2 linked regions of the Notamacropus eugenii genome follow. The protein of the gene in region 2 interacts with the protein of the main gene of each other region in a pairwise test. Links are inferred from orthologs where the notes say so. Each region holds a gene or a part of one and is shown on either strand. Other genes may lie near its edges.

What was found. The genes of interacting proteins can lie anywhere in the genome.
Region 1: the proteins of BRAP (region 2) and NUMA1 interact in a two-hybrid assay, tested with the Homo sapiens proteins (2 studies listed by BioGRID and IntAct). The link is inferred for Notamacropus eugenii from reciprocal best matches to the Homo sapiens genes BRAP and NUMA1.

The regions. Positions count from the first base shown.
Region 1 is NC_092876.1:96,760,687-96,768,509, forward strand, and holds the start of NUMA1 (nuclear mitotic apparatus protein 1), read right to left. Parts: upstream 3,002-7,823; 5' UTR 2,868-3,001; intron 1-2,867. UniProt on the Homo sapiens protein: Microtubule (MT)-binding protein that plays a role in the formation and maintenance of the spindle poles and the alignement and the segregation of chromosomes during mitotic cell division.
Region 2 is NC_092875.1:34,534,860-34,542,163, reverse strand, and holds the start of BRAP (BRCA1-associated protein), read right to left. Parts: upstream 3,007-7,304; 5' UTR 2,733-3,006; coding exon 2,648-2,732; coding exon of another isoform or gene 2,644-2,647; intron 758-2,643; coding exon 596-757; intron 1-595. UniProt on the Homo sapiens protein: Negatively regulates MAP kinase activation by limiting the formation of Raf/MEK complexes probably by inactivation of the KSR1 scaffold protein.

The DNA.
Region 1 (7,823 bases), on a different chromosome or scaffold from region 2:
TAACATCTTTTTTATCAATGACCTGGAAAAGGAAGAGAAGGTATGTTTATCAAATTTGCAGATGTCAGGAAACTGGAATGGAATGCTAAAACACTGGATGACAGAGTCAGAATCCAAAAACATTTTTTTTATGCTTACAACCATTTATTGAACATATTAACAACACATCTTGAATTAGGATTTGGCTAAGTTTCACAATGGAGAAGCTAATGAAATACTCAACATAACCCGCCCCCCCCCCCCCCCCTGCAGTCCCTATGAACCTATGCAGGGCTTGAACCCACCTGCACAATTCCAAAAACATTTTGACAGGTGAGAATGACTGATCAAATCTAATAAGATGAAATTTACTTTCTTAGCTCTCATCAGTGTTCCTTCTAATAGGGAAACAAACTGCAACTTCGTCCATATCTTCTCTCCTCTTGCGCAATTCTTATCCATAAATCCTCTTCAGAGAATCTACCCAAATGAGTTCTTAACCTTTTTTATGTCATGGACCACTTTGATAAGATGGTGAAGCCTATGAACAACTTCTCAGAATAATATTTTTTAAATGCACAAAATAAAACACATAGAATTGAAAAGGGAAGCAAATGTATTGAAATATTTATCAAAACATCTTTTAAAAAATAAATCAAGTTCACAGATCCTAGGTGAATAACCCTTGATGAGTATTTTATTAGTTCATGGGTATTAGCATAACTTGAGTTCTCATTATTCCCTATGTGCCCTCCTTTTACAGCTAATCTTCTATTATTTATTTTTTTGCCATTTGTACCTAAGTCAGTGTCGATAATATTCTGCAGGGAGACACAGAATACCATCCCCTTTAACTGCTTTGCAGAGTTAAGGGGTCCATGAGTACGAGCCAGGCCATGTGTTAGTTTTTTCTACAAATTTACTAAGAACAGCATGGAGTAGCTGCTAAAAAAAATAATTTATACACAATTCTAGATGAGTACTCAAAACAAGGAAGGTGATAATCTAACCAACTCAATCCTAACTGGGTCACATTTGAAATAGTTTACTTATTCCTGGGAACCACAATTTAAGAGTGACGCTGAAAAATAGGGTGAGAAGCCCAAGAGCTATCTTTAAATACTAGAAACCACACCACTATCTTTGCCAAAGAAAACCCAAAATGGGGTCCTGAAGAACAACAACAACAAAAATTGTTTCTATCTTCACATCTTTTCTCAACTCAATTAATCAAACATTCATTAAGCATCTATTATGTGGCAGACACTGGCTGGGATACAAAAAAGAAGTAAAGGTCAGGCCCTGCCCTCAAGCTTTCAAATCTAACTCACCACAACCACTCTAGTTAAATCTTCACCACCTCTTCAGGGACCTGTTAGCTTCTTAATTCAATCAATCAATCAACATTTATAAAGTGCCAGCAGACCCTGTGCTAAGCCTTGGGAATACCAAAAGAGGCAAATGACAGTCTGCCTTCAATGATCTTACAATCTTATGGGGGAGACCACACCCAAACAAATAACGAACAAAGCAAGCTATATACAGGATAAATAGGAAATAATTAACAGAGGAAAGGCACCAGAATTAAGAGGAGTTAGGACAGCCTTCCTATAAAAGATGGGATTTTATGTATAACCTACTATGGAATTGCTTGCCTTGGGAGTGGGGGAAGACGGAGAAGGGGAGAGTTTGGAACTCAAGATTTTGAAAACAAATGTTAAAATACTTGTTTTTTACGTGTAACTGGGGAAAAAGTAAATACTAAATACCGCCCCCCCAAAAAAGATGGAATTTGAGTGGGGATTGAAAGGAAGCCAGGGAAGTCTGTAGACAGAGTAGAGGGAAAGCGTTCCAGGCACGGGGGGCAGCCGGAGAAAATGGAGTGTCTCCAAGTCTCAGTTCTTCTCTCTGCCTCCTTTTCCCAATGGCTCCTTATTGCCTCTAGAACCAAATACAAACTCTCATGTTTATCACTGACGGATCTTCCTGCCTTCCCAGGGCTTGGCACAAGGGCTGGCACAGCGCAGGCCCGTAATAAAGGCGTACTGTCTTACTACACAGAACTGTCCTCGCCCGGGCACTGCGCTGGTACAGCTTTCAGCAGTGTCCGATTCCGTCGCCCCATCTCGGGGTTCTCCGGGCAGAGATCCTGGCGCGGGGGCCATTTCCTCCTCCAGCTCGTTTTACGGATGAGAACACGGAGACACCGGTTAAGGGACCTGCCCAGGCTGACCCGGCCAGGAATGTCTGAGGACTGCTTTGGACTCACGAAGGCGAGCGCCGCGGGCTCCAGGCCTGGGGCTCTATCTACCCACTTCGCCACCCAGCCGCGAGCGCCTGGCACATAGGAGGTGCTTAATAACAGCGTGTAGACTTGGTCTAGATCCTCCAAGCCTGGAATGCTCCCCTTCCTTCCTTGCACCTCGCATTATTATAGCCTTTAAAGTCCAGATCTCCTTCCCCAGAAAACAAGCCCATGTTTATTTTGAAAAAGAAGCTCCGCGCGTCCTCTGAGCGGCACTGGCAGCGGCTCCTGCAGCATGCCAGCTTCTTAAGGGCAGGGTGCGCCTCCTCTCCCCGTCCCGGTCGCCCACGCCAGCGCAGGGCACTCAGCAGGCCCCACCACTTCTCCGACCCTTCCCCCCTCAGGGCCCCTCCCCCATCGAGAGGCGCCTCCTGTCCCCCACAACGCGGGGCGGCCCCCAAAGCTCCGCTCTCCCTCGCCGCCCCCTCCCCTCTCAGGTTCTTTTCTCTCCGCTCGCCCCACCCCGCATTCGCCGCCCTTCGGCAGCTCCCTCACACCGTCCTCCCTCCGCTTCCGCGACACCTCCTCTCCATTTCCTCATTCCGACACTAGGGTGCATCCTCGACTCCCCTCCTGGTCTTACCTGGCCGCGCACGCGCGCGTCCCTCCTAGGGGCTACAGCTCCCAGGACCCGCTGAAGGTCCCACTTTCAGGACTCACTCCGTCAGCCACTTCCCCACCCCCATCTCCTAGTAGCTGCTGGGGCAGCCTCCGGCGCCGCCGCCGCCGCCCAAGCCCACAGTTTGAACTGCAGCGCCGCCCCCTCGTGCTGAGTCCTCATTGGTCAAACCAAGGAGACATCATGGTACACATGCGCACTCTCACAGCCCCGGCAGGGCGGGAGAAAGAAGGAAGGTTGCTTGGGAGAAGGGAGCCTGGAGCAGGACGGGGGGAGCATCGAGTCTCTATCTCCTCAGGCCGGAGGGAAGCTTGAACTACAAATCCCAGTATTCCTCGCGGCTCCCTAAGGGATTGGGCAGGGGCCCGGGTCAGAGCGGGAAATGGAGAAGGGGTGATAAAAGGTAGAGGTCGGGGCAGAGAATTTAGGAGCGACGATTGTAGGGACTGAGGAACTTTAGAAGGCCAGACTGTGTTGAAGTTTCGGTTTCTGACCTTGAAAACCGCAAACTACAAGTCCCAGGATTCTGTGCAGCTAAGTAAAACCTTCTTCCCGTTGGCCACGGTTAGGGGCGGGGAGGGCTGTAGGTCCCAGCATGCCCCGGGGCGAGGCGTACAGAGGTTGGGAGGCTGTGATGATGATGGTTACCATGGAGTTGGGCTAAGCGTGCCGCTGTCTACGGGAAGGCAAAGGCTGAAGAAAACGGAGCTGGTGAGCTTGGGCAGCAGCTGGTGAGCGCACTGGGCAAGGACTGAGGCGGATACAGGTGTCATGCCAAGCATAGGTAGCCCTATTACAAGGGCCTGAGGTGGCCCCAAAGCAGAGACAGCTAAGCTGTAAGAACCTGAGGTAGTCCGGGGAGAAGGTAGCTTGGGAACCCCATTTATTATTCACTCAGCAGACATGAAGTGCCTACTATATTCCAGGCACTGGGATAAGCACTTTGTTCAAAGACAAAACGAAAAAGTTCTAGCAGTCAAAGAGAATACGTTCTTTTTCGGAGAAACTCCAGTAACAGATAAGTAAAATGGGAAATAATTGGGGAGGGGGCATGGCAAGTCAGGGGCGGTAAGGTCAATTGGGGAGTGATCGAGATTGGCCTAGTGAAGAGGTATTTGAATTTTAACCTTGAACTAAGGGACTAAAAAGGTGAAAAAAAAAATGTATACCAGGCATGGGGGTGAGGTGGAGCAGGGACAGCTTGAGTAAAGGCACAAAGGCTAGTTTGGCTGGAGGGCAAGGTGTCTGAAAGGAGTAAGTAATAAGCCTGGGAAAGTAGGCTGGAGCCAGTTTTTGAAGGGCTTTAAATATCAAACAAAAGTTTGTATTTTAACTTAGTGACAATTTGGGAGCATCTGGAGCAGAGGAGTGACCTATGCTTTAGGAATATCAGTTTGGCAACTCTGTGGAAGATGGAATGGAGAGGCCAGAGACTGGAGGCAGGGAGACCAATTAGGGACTTTTGAGGTACTTGCTAGGCATGACAGAGGGTGGGTACTCCCCTCCCCATTTCTGTAGCCTAAGAGTTTCAAATTCCTAGAAGCAGACTTTGGCACCATACCATTGGGATGGTGAAGAGGAGACCACCACCAAAATGGGGGAAAGGGTGCTTTCAATCTGAGAATATGGGGGTTCTGACAGAGGCAAGACAGCCAGCCCAGATGGAGGCTATTTCTTGATTTTCTCCCCTTTTCGGTAAGACAGCTCAGACATTAATAGCCACCTAATATATCAAGTAACTAGAAATTTTGGAACTGGGTAAGCAACTTCCTACACCCTTTCCACTTTCATTTACTCTATGAAAGCCCAATTAAATCATTAATGGTATTCCCTTTATCCTGTTTCCTTTAATACTCTATCTTCATGTGCCCATGGAAACATAGATGTCTCCAGAAGACACAGAATCACTACTTCTTGGGTGCTGTTTGCTCCTCTCATTTCTCCTAATAGGCTTGGACAGAAGAAAAAATATATTCCTGGTTCCCCAGTGACACTTCTAAACCCTCCATCTGCAGTTATTACTCAGCAAATACTCCCTCTTTTTAGGCCCATTGCATTCTTCTGAATGGTAGTTAACTGGCATAGTGAATAGAATGCTAGGCTTGGAGTTAGGAAAACTTGAACTTAAATCCTGTCTCAAACAGAGTACCTTTGTGGTGCTAAGTAAGTCATGTAACATCGTTCAGCATTTGTTTCATCTGTAAAGTGGGCTTAAGACCTATTTTATATCTGTGGTGTTCATCTTTTGGTATGATAGTCACCCTCTCACATTCAGTACTTGGCTCAGTCTTTCCCTCCTCCATCCCAAACCCTCCCTGAATACTTGGGGATTTCAATTTCTACATTGAGGTCCCCTCAAACACCCTGGTCTCCCAACCTATCAACCTTAAGTCACATGACCTAGGTCATCCTTATGCCAAAGCTATCCATAGGGATACTGAATCTTTGATCATAACCCTTGGTACTCTTGCATCATTCCTAAAACTGTCCTTCATCCTCAGCATACCCTTCAGTCCCTCCATCCTTTGTTGTTCTGGTACTAGAGTTGACCGCTTCAATGGCATACTAATGTGTATGTACCCTTGACTCTTTTTACCCTTCATGATCGTGCCAGAGGCCTGTGTTACCCTCACCCTCCTTATCTTCTAATTCTCTTCCAACAGCCCAAAGAGGAAGGCACTCAAAATGACTGCTGATTCAACCCCATTGTTATCTGATCTCAGCTGGGCCCTCAAAGCTGCAGTCTTTTTATTCTGATTCTCAAGATTATTTGAAGTGATTCATCTTTGTTCAAATTCCTATGTACTACACCCTTTCCTCCCCTCTCAGAAGACTTCAATTCCTACCTTAGTGAGAAAAAAAGCAAAGTTATCCATCTATAGTAAGTTCTCCTGTCCTATGATATACCTTAAAATTCCTCCATATCATTCTCCATTCTTTCCTTTTACTCCCCTATCTGGAATACACTTCCTTGGAGAAATCAGTTTTAGTTGAGTATTGAATTTGGAGGCCCACCTATTCTTATTAGAATATTTTATTATTACTATATTAGAATATTACCATATTCTTTCTCCTTTAAGGAAAAGGTCAGTGCCATTTCTTTGAAACGAACACTCTTGCCAATTTCAGATTTTCCTACAGCACTCCATCTTGTATTTGCCCTTATCCCATTTTTGTTCTTATTTGTGTACATACCTGAGCCTTCCCAATTTTATTAGACTTTAAGGTCTCTGACAGTAAGCACTGCCTATTTAAAAATTTGTGTCCCCAGTGCCCCAGTCTCTGATAAAAAGGTGGTGTTTCTTCCCAAGGCTAACTTCTCCATTTGTGCTCTTGATCCCATCCGCTCATCTTCTCTTCCATCATTCTCTGGCTCTTTCACTGCTGCCTGCATCACCCATTATGTCATTGGTCATCTTCAAATACAAAGGACAAACAGCAACAAATGTCACCAAGCCTCCCCCATCCTTAAAAATCTTTCACCTGCCCCATATATTGTTGTTTGTCCTTCCATTTTTGAAGAGGACCAGTGAAGTCACGGGTTGTGTCTCGACTTGTGTATGAAATTCAATTTAAGTGAGGTAGAGTTGCACAGTCATCAGCCTCACACTCCCTTCCTGAGTCACAAAGTCCAGTGGCAGGACAAAAGTCAAGGTGACTGGCCATGGCACAGAATGCAGCATGTGACTTTTGCTTCACAGCACCTGCTTTAGCTACCATCCTGGCCATTGGAATGAACTGTTCTCATCTGCCCATTCTGCTAGGGAAAGTCTTCACGTGCTTGGGGTAGACATTCCCCTAGCCACCAACAGGTTGAAGATCTGTCAGTTACCCTCAGCTTGTTTTAGTCTCTCTGCTGATTGGTTTTACTGGGGTGTGGTTACTGCACATGCTGCAGCTTCCAGGAGCCACAGGTGAAAACTGGATGAATCAAGTGGATATCAAAGATGGATGAGCAGCCCCTGAAAAGTGGCTCAAGAAGCCTTCACACCAGAGGTGCTAGTCCTCCTGAACACCCCATACAATAACCCACCGTCCCTCACCCCTTCACGCAAATATATTACATAAAGCTAGACAAAGAGGGATTTCTCTTTCAGAGCTATGCTATACTTGTTGCCTCTACTTCCTACACCAGCACTTGCCCTGAAACTCCACTATTGGTCTAAAACTGTTTCCTCGCAGATGACACACAATCCTTAGCTACTAAATCTGATACCCTTTTCTACAATCATATTCTTGACCTTTCTGGAACTTTCAACACTATCACTTGCTCCAAGATAGTCTTTTAGTTTGCTTGACATTGCTTTCTTCTGGTTCTAACAGCACCTTCTCTGGTTCTTATGCTATATCATTGATTAACTGAATAAATTTAAGTAGCTACTATTGCCATTCTATCCCAATATGGACAATTTTGATGGGAGAGGCTCTGGCAGCTGGAGGAATTAGCAAAAGCCTCAGAGGAATGGCATTTGAAGTGACCTTTAAGGGAAGCTAGGGATTTTAAGAGGTAGAGGTGAGCTTGGAGAACAGCTTGAGCAAAATCAGAGGCCAAAGGCCAAAGGATCACAGAGCTGGATGTGACTATAGAAGCTATCTCCTCCAACCCCTTCAATTTATAAATGAGGTTCATACAGGATAACGCAACCAATATATGTCAGAGGCAGGACTCAAACCCAAGGGATTAATGTACACTGAGCCTATAAAAGTAGAATGAAGCCAGATTAGGACTTTACACATCAAATAGAAGTTTGCATTTTATCCTAGAACCAATGACGACACCAAAACATAGTGGATAGTGGCCTCAAAGCCAAAAAACTTGGGTTTGAGCGCAAATTCCAACACATATTGGTTTATTTGAGCCTGGACAACTCACTTAAACTTTTGGTGTTGTAAGGAGCTAAGACTGTGGGTTGCATTGGT
Region 2 (7,304 bases):
AAGATTTTTCAGCCTTTCAGAAAACATGCCTTAGTTAGATTTTGTGGTTTCAATGATCATATCTGGCAAAGAAAACATACTACAATTTGAACAAATTCCCCAAATAATCAAATATATGTATGCAAAAAATGAACCCTAACTTCAAAATGTAATTTCTATTTGCCCCTCAAAAAATGAAATCAACACTTTTGATAACTTCCAAGGACTTTATACTTATCAGGGTACGCTTGTAAACAGATATTTTATACGTATGCTCAAAGCTAACATGTTTGAAAAGTAGATCTACCAGTTTTGGCCATTTGAGTTTCTATACTGATCCAATTCCTCTGAACAAAGCATGTCAGCAACACAATGGAAATGGACAACAGATTTATTTGGACTGACCACTGATTTGTGATTCAGTTATGAGGTAGTTCCTCTACTACTGTCAATAAAGGCAAACCTAATTTGTTAGGATTCATTTAAAAAGTACTTGAATTAACATTAAATTACGATCTAAGAGACTGAAATAATAGGTTTACTGAACAGGCATGAAATAATCATCCACAAGCACAAAACAATCTAATAAGTGATTCAAGACATTTCAAAAACTTACTTGGGTTAGATTTTATGGTTTCAATGATCATATCTGTCATTTCTCGCCGGCCAAGATGTTGGTGTATAATTGCTGCCTTCTCCACTGGCGCCTTTCCTTCTAAATGGACCTTAGCTGAAGCTAGTGTCTTTTCTTTGATTTCTTCATCAGACATCTCCCTAACTAAGTAAAACATAACTAATTAGTGTCTCATAGTGACTGTCCAGATGGCAAAACAAACTCCTCCTCACGCCAATAAAAAAACAAGCAGATCTGAGGAATAGCACAGTCACTGTGTAGCTTCTATATTATTAGAGAAGTCAGGAAACTACCTTTTCATTTTCTTTACCAGCCTGGGACAAAGCGGGAGAGGGAGAAGAGGAAGGGATGAGAATTTAATTACCTATAAACATCTGTAGGTCTGTTTTAATGACATGAACTGGAAGAAACCAGCCACAAAGAGAGTCCTGAAGGAAGTTATATTGAGCCCCAAGTTAACATGTCAACTGACAGATTTGTAAAGTTTTTTTTTTAATTACTAAGGCCAAGGTTTGAATTTGTGATGTTAAGCACCATAAAAATATTCTGTCCTAAAATAATGTGGTTACAGTTTTCAAAGCACTATCATATAGATTAGCTCGCTTGATCCTCAAAATAATCCTGTACAATATGTGTTACCATTCTCCATTACAGAATCAAAGAATTGGAAGAGACCTTCAATATCATGTAACACAACTTTATTTCACATGAAGACAACTGAGGCTCAGAGAGATTAAGAATCTTACCCTCATGGCATTCAGCAGGGAAAGGAAAGAACTCTGAACCAGAACCCGACTCCTCGCCCAAGTTCCTTCTGTGATTTTACGCTACCTTGTTGCAGAAATGAAGACACTGAAGGGATGACGATCACAATTTGCCCCTGCCTAGGAGTGCAACTCCTACTCAGACCCTTCCCTAAGTGGGCTGCAAGAGGTCTCCCAAAGTACTGGAGGCCCCTCTTGACTACTCGACATTTCAAAAACATCAGGGGAGCATACACTATCCATCTTCAGAATCTTTTTAAAAAATGACTGCAGTTGTTCCTAATTCCTTCTTTGTCAAAGGCTGCAGCCTGCTCACAAACACCCAAGGCTCTCTCCCCTACCCTAATCCGTCGGAGACTACCATTCACAATTCTTGGCCATAACACCAGCACAATACTGGTATTACAAACATGTGGCCTTTGTTTCAAGGAACAACTTGGGGTCATTTAGAAGAACCTTGGCATTTCCCAAATGTATTCCATCCTGCTCTTTTCCCGGTTCCTCTCAACGTACACTTGCCAAGTCTGTCCAAAGGACCCGAACTGACAAAGAAGCACTAAAGGTGCCCTCTCAGAGGCATGTCAGGCTAGAGCGCCAGTACCCTTCCTCCACTCGGTTTTTCTGTGCCAACCTTCTGGGCTTACGGGTCTCATTCAGGAGGTTCTACAATGGAGTTTGATGCGAGCAGGGCTTACATCATTCACGACAGAAGTCCCCTTGGAAATCTCTCTTGGACTTTACGTGGGATCTCCCACACCCAGCCCCTCTTGGAGCTTGCTTTGTATACACCTGTTGCACGCTGCCTCCTCCCTTAAAGCTGAGAGCTCCTGGAGGGCAGGGGCATCCCCAGCGCAGCGACTGGCACGTAGGAGCCCTGAGTGTTTACTACCTGGCCCCACGCCTAGCCCGACGTGAACGTCCCACAGCGGGGGGCTGGGCGCTCCTCGCCCTTGGAAAGCACTACTGACCAGTGGGCAGCTGGGGTGTTGTACCCCCCATTGTGGAGGTCTTGGGGGGGTCACACAGCGGCCGCTGCGCCTCAGAAGAGGGAGGGGGTCTAGCACTTGGGGCAGGTCCTCTTTGGGAGGGGAGGAGAGAGGAGGAGGGGAGGTTTGTGGGAGGAGCCTAGAGCGAACGCGCTTGGGGGGGAGGGGCAGGGAGACCCACCCGAGACGCTGGGGAGGGGGCAGCCCCTCCCCCACCAGCCCCCCTCCCCCTGGAGGGCAGGGCCCCGGCGGCGCCGCTCCCGGTCCGGGCAGTGGGCACTCACCGGCGGCCGCGCTGAAGCCGAAGCCGGCGGGCAGGGGCGAGTGGTCCGCGAGCTCCAGTCGGATCACAACCAGTGACACACTCATAGGGCGGGCAGGCGCAGCCCGGCGCGGGCCTCGATGGGCCCAGGCGGGGACGGGACGGGCCGGGTCGGGGGCGACGATGCGGGCCCCTTCCCGGACGGTTGGGGAAGGGCAGAGGCGCTCGCCGCCGGACTGGTCAGGGAAGGCCGCCGCCGCCACCGCCGCACGGGCGGGCGGACTGCCTGGCGGGCTGCCGGGGCCCCAGATGCCGCGGCTGACACGGCCGGCCCCGCGCTCCCTCGGGCGCTCGCTTCACCTCCGAAGCCCGACGGGAAACGAGCGACCGAGAACGCCCGCCACTTCCGCCTCCCGGCCGCCGTCCGCTTGTCACTGGCGTGAGGAGAGCCACGTGACGTGAGGGGGCGGGGCCTGGAGCGGAGGCGGGGCGGAGGGGAGGGGCGGTCACGTGAGCAGAACGCTCGGAGAAGGTGAGCACGCACTCACTCCCTGCTCTGTCCTCCACTCCCTCTCCCCTCCCCCAGCTCCTGAAAAGTCCCCCTCCTCTCCCCTCCCTCCCTCCCTCTCGAGGGCTTGGGGGTGGGGGGAAGCTCGTGGGGCGTGCGCCAACGGGCCGCCGTTAGAAGCGTTAGGGGACCCGACTGGCGAGGGCGGGGTTAGAACACGAGAGGGGCGGGGCCGGAGCTCTGGGGGCGGGGCTTATGCTGGGGGCTTTCCTCCTGTCCCTAAACTAGTCAGTTTCCAGGACTTCAGGTGGCCTGCCCAGTACAAAGAGCGTTGGTTTCTGAGTCTTAGGATCTGGGTTCAAATCCTACCTCGGCCCCTTCCTCCTCCTATGATCCTAAGCAACACTGGCTCCTTCCTGGGCCTCAGTTTCCTCACCTGCAAAATGGGGGAGTTGGACCAGATGGGCCTTAGAGCCCTGCCCCTGAGATTGTAGGGTGTCTGAGGGCCTCTGGCCTGGATTTGGATTCCAATCCTATCCCTCCAAGCCTCAGTATCCTCAAGTCTAGCAACCTTTGGACAACATTATTCTGCCTAGTTGCCTGGAGGGGGGGGCACCTGAATCAAGGCAGCAAGCACTTATTAAGTGCCTACTCTGTGCCCTGGCATGTACAAAGGACACAGAAACAGTCCCCAGCACATTGCACTGACTGAGGTGTTTGCAAAGTGCTTGACATCGTTTTCACCTCCTTTGATCTCCCAGTGATTCTAGAAGGAATCTACTACAGGTGTCGTTGTGCCTGTTTGACTGCTGAGAAAACTGAGGCCCTGGAGTTATAAAGTCAGTCAAAAAGTCAATGAGTTATTCAGTAGACATGAAGCACCACTGTGGGCCAGGCACTCTGCCATATCTTCTTGCTGTCTCTCTCCCTTGACAAGCCTAGGGTATAAACAAAGAATGTCTGAGCTGGAAGGGACTCGGGGGCCATTGAGTCACCATCTCATTTTGCAGCTGGTAAAACTGGCTCAGAGAGAAGGGACCTGCCCGAGGTCCCACAGTCAGTTGGTGCCAGAGCCAGGTTCAGGCTCTCCTGCCTTCCGGTCCTATCAAGCATCAGATGGCTGCAGCATGTTTTATGCAGGAAGAATTTTACCAGTGTCTTGTTGAAATGTCCCTCTAGTAGGAGAAGCCAGGATAGCAGAGGCTTCCTCTGTTGTCTCATCTGGCCACAGAGGTAATTCTCAGTTTTAGAAGGTTAGGTGGGTTCTTCTGACCTGGAAGGCTAGGTATGGGCCACCTGGGACTAGCCTAGCGCCATATAGAAAGGCTGATCAATCCTTGTGTGACACTAGGGGCATCACTTCTCTCCCAGCCTCAGTTTCCTTTTCTGTCAAACAGGGCTAATAAATGGGATTAATTTTTTCTTTACTCCCCCCACTAAAATGGGGAGGAATCATAGACTGGGCTAGGTGGAGAGAACACCCTTTGTGTATAAAAGTAAGTCAATCCAGTGCAGTCGACCCTTCATGAATCCAACCTTGACAGAATCAACAAACCTTTATTAATTGCTACCTTGTGAGTCAGATGTCTCATAGGCATCTCAAGCTCAATGTGCCCCAGATGGTTCTCTGTCTTTCCCCACCATCCCATTGTTCTTCCAGACTTTGCTCATACTACCAAGGCCACCATCTTCCTTTCAGTCCCCAGGCTCAGAGCCATCCTTGATTGCTCAGTCTCACCTCACGTATCCAGACACCTGCTATTGCTTGTCCTTTTCTCTTGTGTATGTCCTCTTCTCACCACTCACCCAGCCACCATATTGGATGCCAGAGTATACTGGGGTCACTAGGTGTAAGTAGACTGGAAGACAGGTTATGAAAAGCTTTGAAAACAAAACAGGATTTTCCTTCTTTTGATTTGGAGAAAATGGAAGCTGGGGGCCATCTCCAGTCATCCTGATTTATATCTGGCCATTGGACTTAGGTAGTGCTGGAGGAGAAAGTGAGGCTGGGTGCCTTTGCACAGCCCTTACTCGCTTAAATCCAATTCACTTGCAAGTCTTAGCATCACCTCCCTGATGTCATGGTTCTCTTCAAAAACGAAGGATAAAAAAATAACAATATGGAACCACCAGAAAAGGCTGATGTGATCAGCTCTTTACTTATAACAGATACACTTGATAGCAGAGTGGAAAATAGATAGTAGTGGGGAAAGACTTGAGGTAGGAAAATCACTCAATAGCCATTGCAATAGTCCATGTGGGAGGTGATGAGGGCATGTACCAGGGTAATGACAGTATCAGAGGGGAGACAGGAGTATGCCAGAGATGCTAAAAGAAAAAAAAGTCAGAATGAACAGAATTTGGCAACATGGGGGATATGGTGGGGTGAGGGAGAATGAGTTGTTGGGGGTGGCACCTAGGTTGCCAGTCTGGGTGACTGGGAGGAGGATGGTACCCTTGACAGTAACGGGGAAGTCAGGAAGAGGGGAAGATTTTGGAGAAAAGATAATGAGTTCAGTTTTGAATGAGTTTAAGGTGTCTATAGGACATTTGGTTCAAGATGTCTGATGGGCAGTTGGAGAATTGAATCTGGAGGTTAAGAGAGAAGCTAGGACTGAATAAACATGTGAAAGTAATTTGCATTAGACCTTATGAGTGAATCTATGGGTTGATGAGAGCACTGAGGGAGATAATCTAGAGGGAGAAAAGAAAAGGGTCTAGTTCAGACCCTCCTAGGACATCCATGGTCTAGGAGGGTACTTGGATGAAGAACCATTAAAGGAGAAGGGGGTGGTCAGATAGACAGGAGGGAAACCAGAAGAGAGTGATGTCCCAAAAACCTGGAGAAGGAGAAGGGAAGGAACAGTCATGTCAAAGACTGAAGAGAGGTCGAGAAGTATGACGATTGAGACAAAGCCAGTCTATTTGGTCAGTAAGACATTGGGCTGAATGATGAGATTGGAAGCCTCTGCAGAGATTTCAGAAGAGGAGAAGAGGAAGAAAGACTGAAGGAAGATGTCTGAGGGGCATGAGATGACTAGGGGTGTAGGGGAGAAGAGAGAGCTCTTTGCTAATGGTCTATTTTTTCAGTGAGAGGCAAGGTTCTGAATGGAGAGGGAGTAAGGAGGGGAAACCATGGGAAGTTGGAGAAGGGATGAAAAGCTGCCATTGTGAGTGGGATAATGAATTGGTTAGGGAAGTGTTTTGTTTTTTTTAATTAATTTATTTAACTTTTAACATTCATTTTCACAAAATTTTGGGTTCCAAATTTTCTCCCCATTTGTCCCCTCCCCCCATGCCAAAATGCTGAGCATTCTAATTGCCCCTATCACCAATCTGCCCTCTCTTCCATCATCCCTCCCTTCTCTTGTCCCCATCTTCTCTTTTGTCCTGTAGAGCCAGATAACTTTCTATACCCCTTTACCTGTATTTCTTATTTTCTAGTAGCAAGAATAGTACTCGACAGTTGTTCCTAAAACTTTGAGTTCCAACTTCTCCTCATCCCTCCCTCCCCACCCTTTCCCTTTGGAAGGCAAGCAATTCAATATAGGCCATATCTGTGTAGTTTTGCAAATGACTTCCATAATAGTCGTGTTGTGTAAGACTAACTATATTTCCCTCCATCCTATCCTGCCCCCCGTTGCTTCTATTCTCTCTTTTGATCCTGTCCCTCCCCAAAAGTGTTGACTTCAAATTGCTCCCTCCTCCCATTGCCCTCCCTTCCATCCTCCCCCCCCAGCCTGCTTATCCCCTTCTCCCCCACTTTCCTGTATTGTAAGATAGGTTTTCATACCAAAATGAGTGTGCATTTTATTCCTTCCTTTAGTGGAATGTGATGAGAGTAAACATGTTTTTCTCTTACCTCCCTTCTTTTTCCCTCCACTAAAAAGTCTTTTGCTTGCCTCTTTTATGAGAGTTACTTTGCCCCATTCCATTGCTCCCTTTCTCCTCCTGATGTATTTCTCTTTCACCCCTTAATTTCATTTTTTAAAGATATGATCCCATCCTATTCAATTCACTCTGTGCTCTCTGTCTGTGTGTGTGTGTGTGCGTGTGTGTGTAATCCCACCCACTACCCAGATACTGAAAAGTTTCAAGAGTTACAAATATTTTCTTTCCATGTAGGAATGTAAACAGTTCAACTTTAGTAAGTCCCTTAAGACTTCCCTTT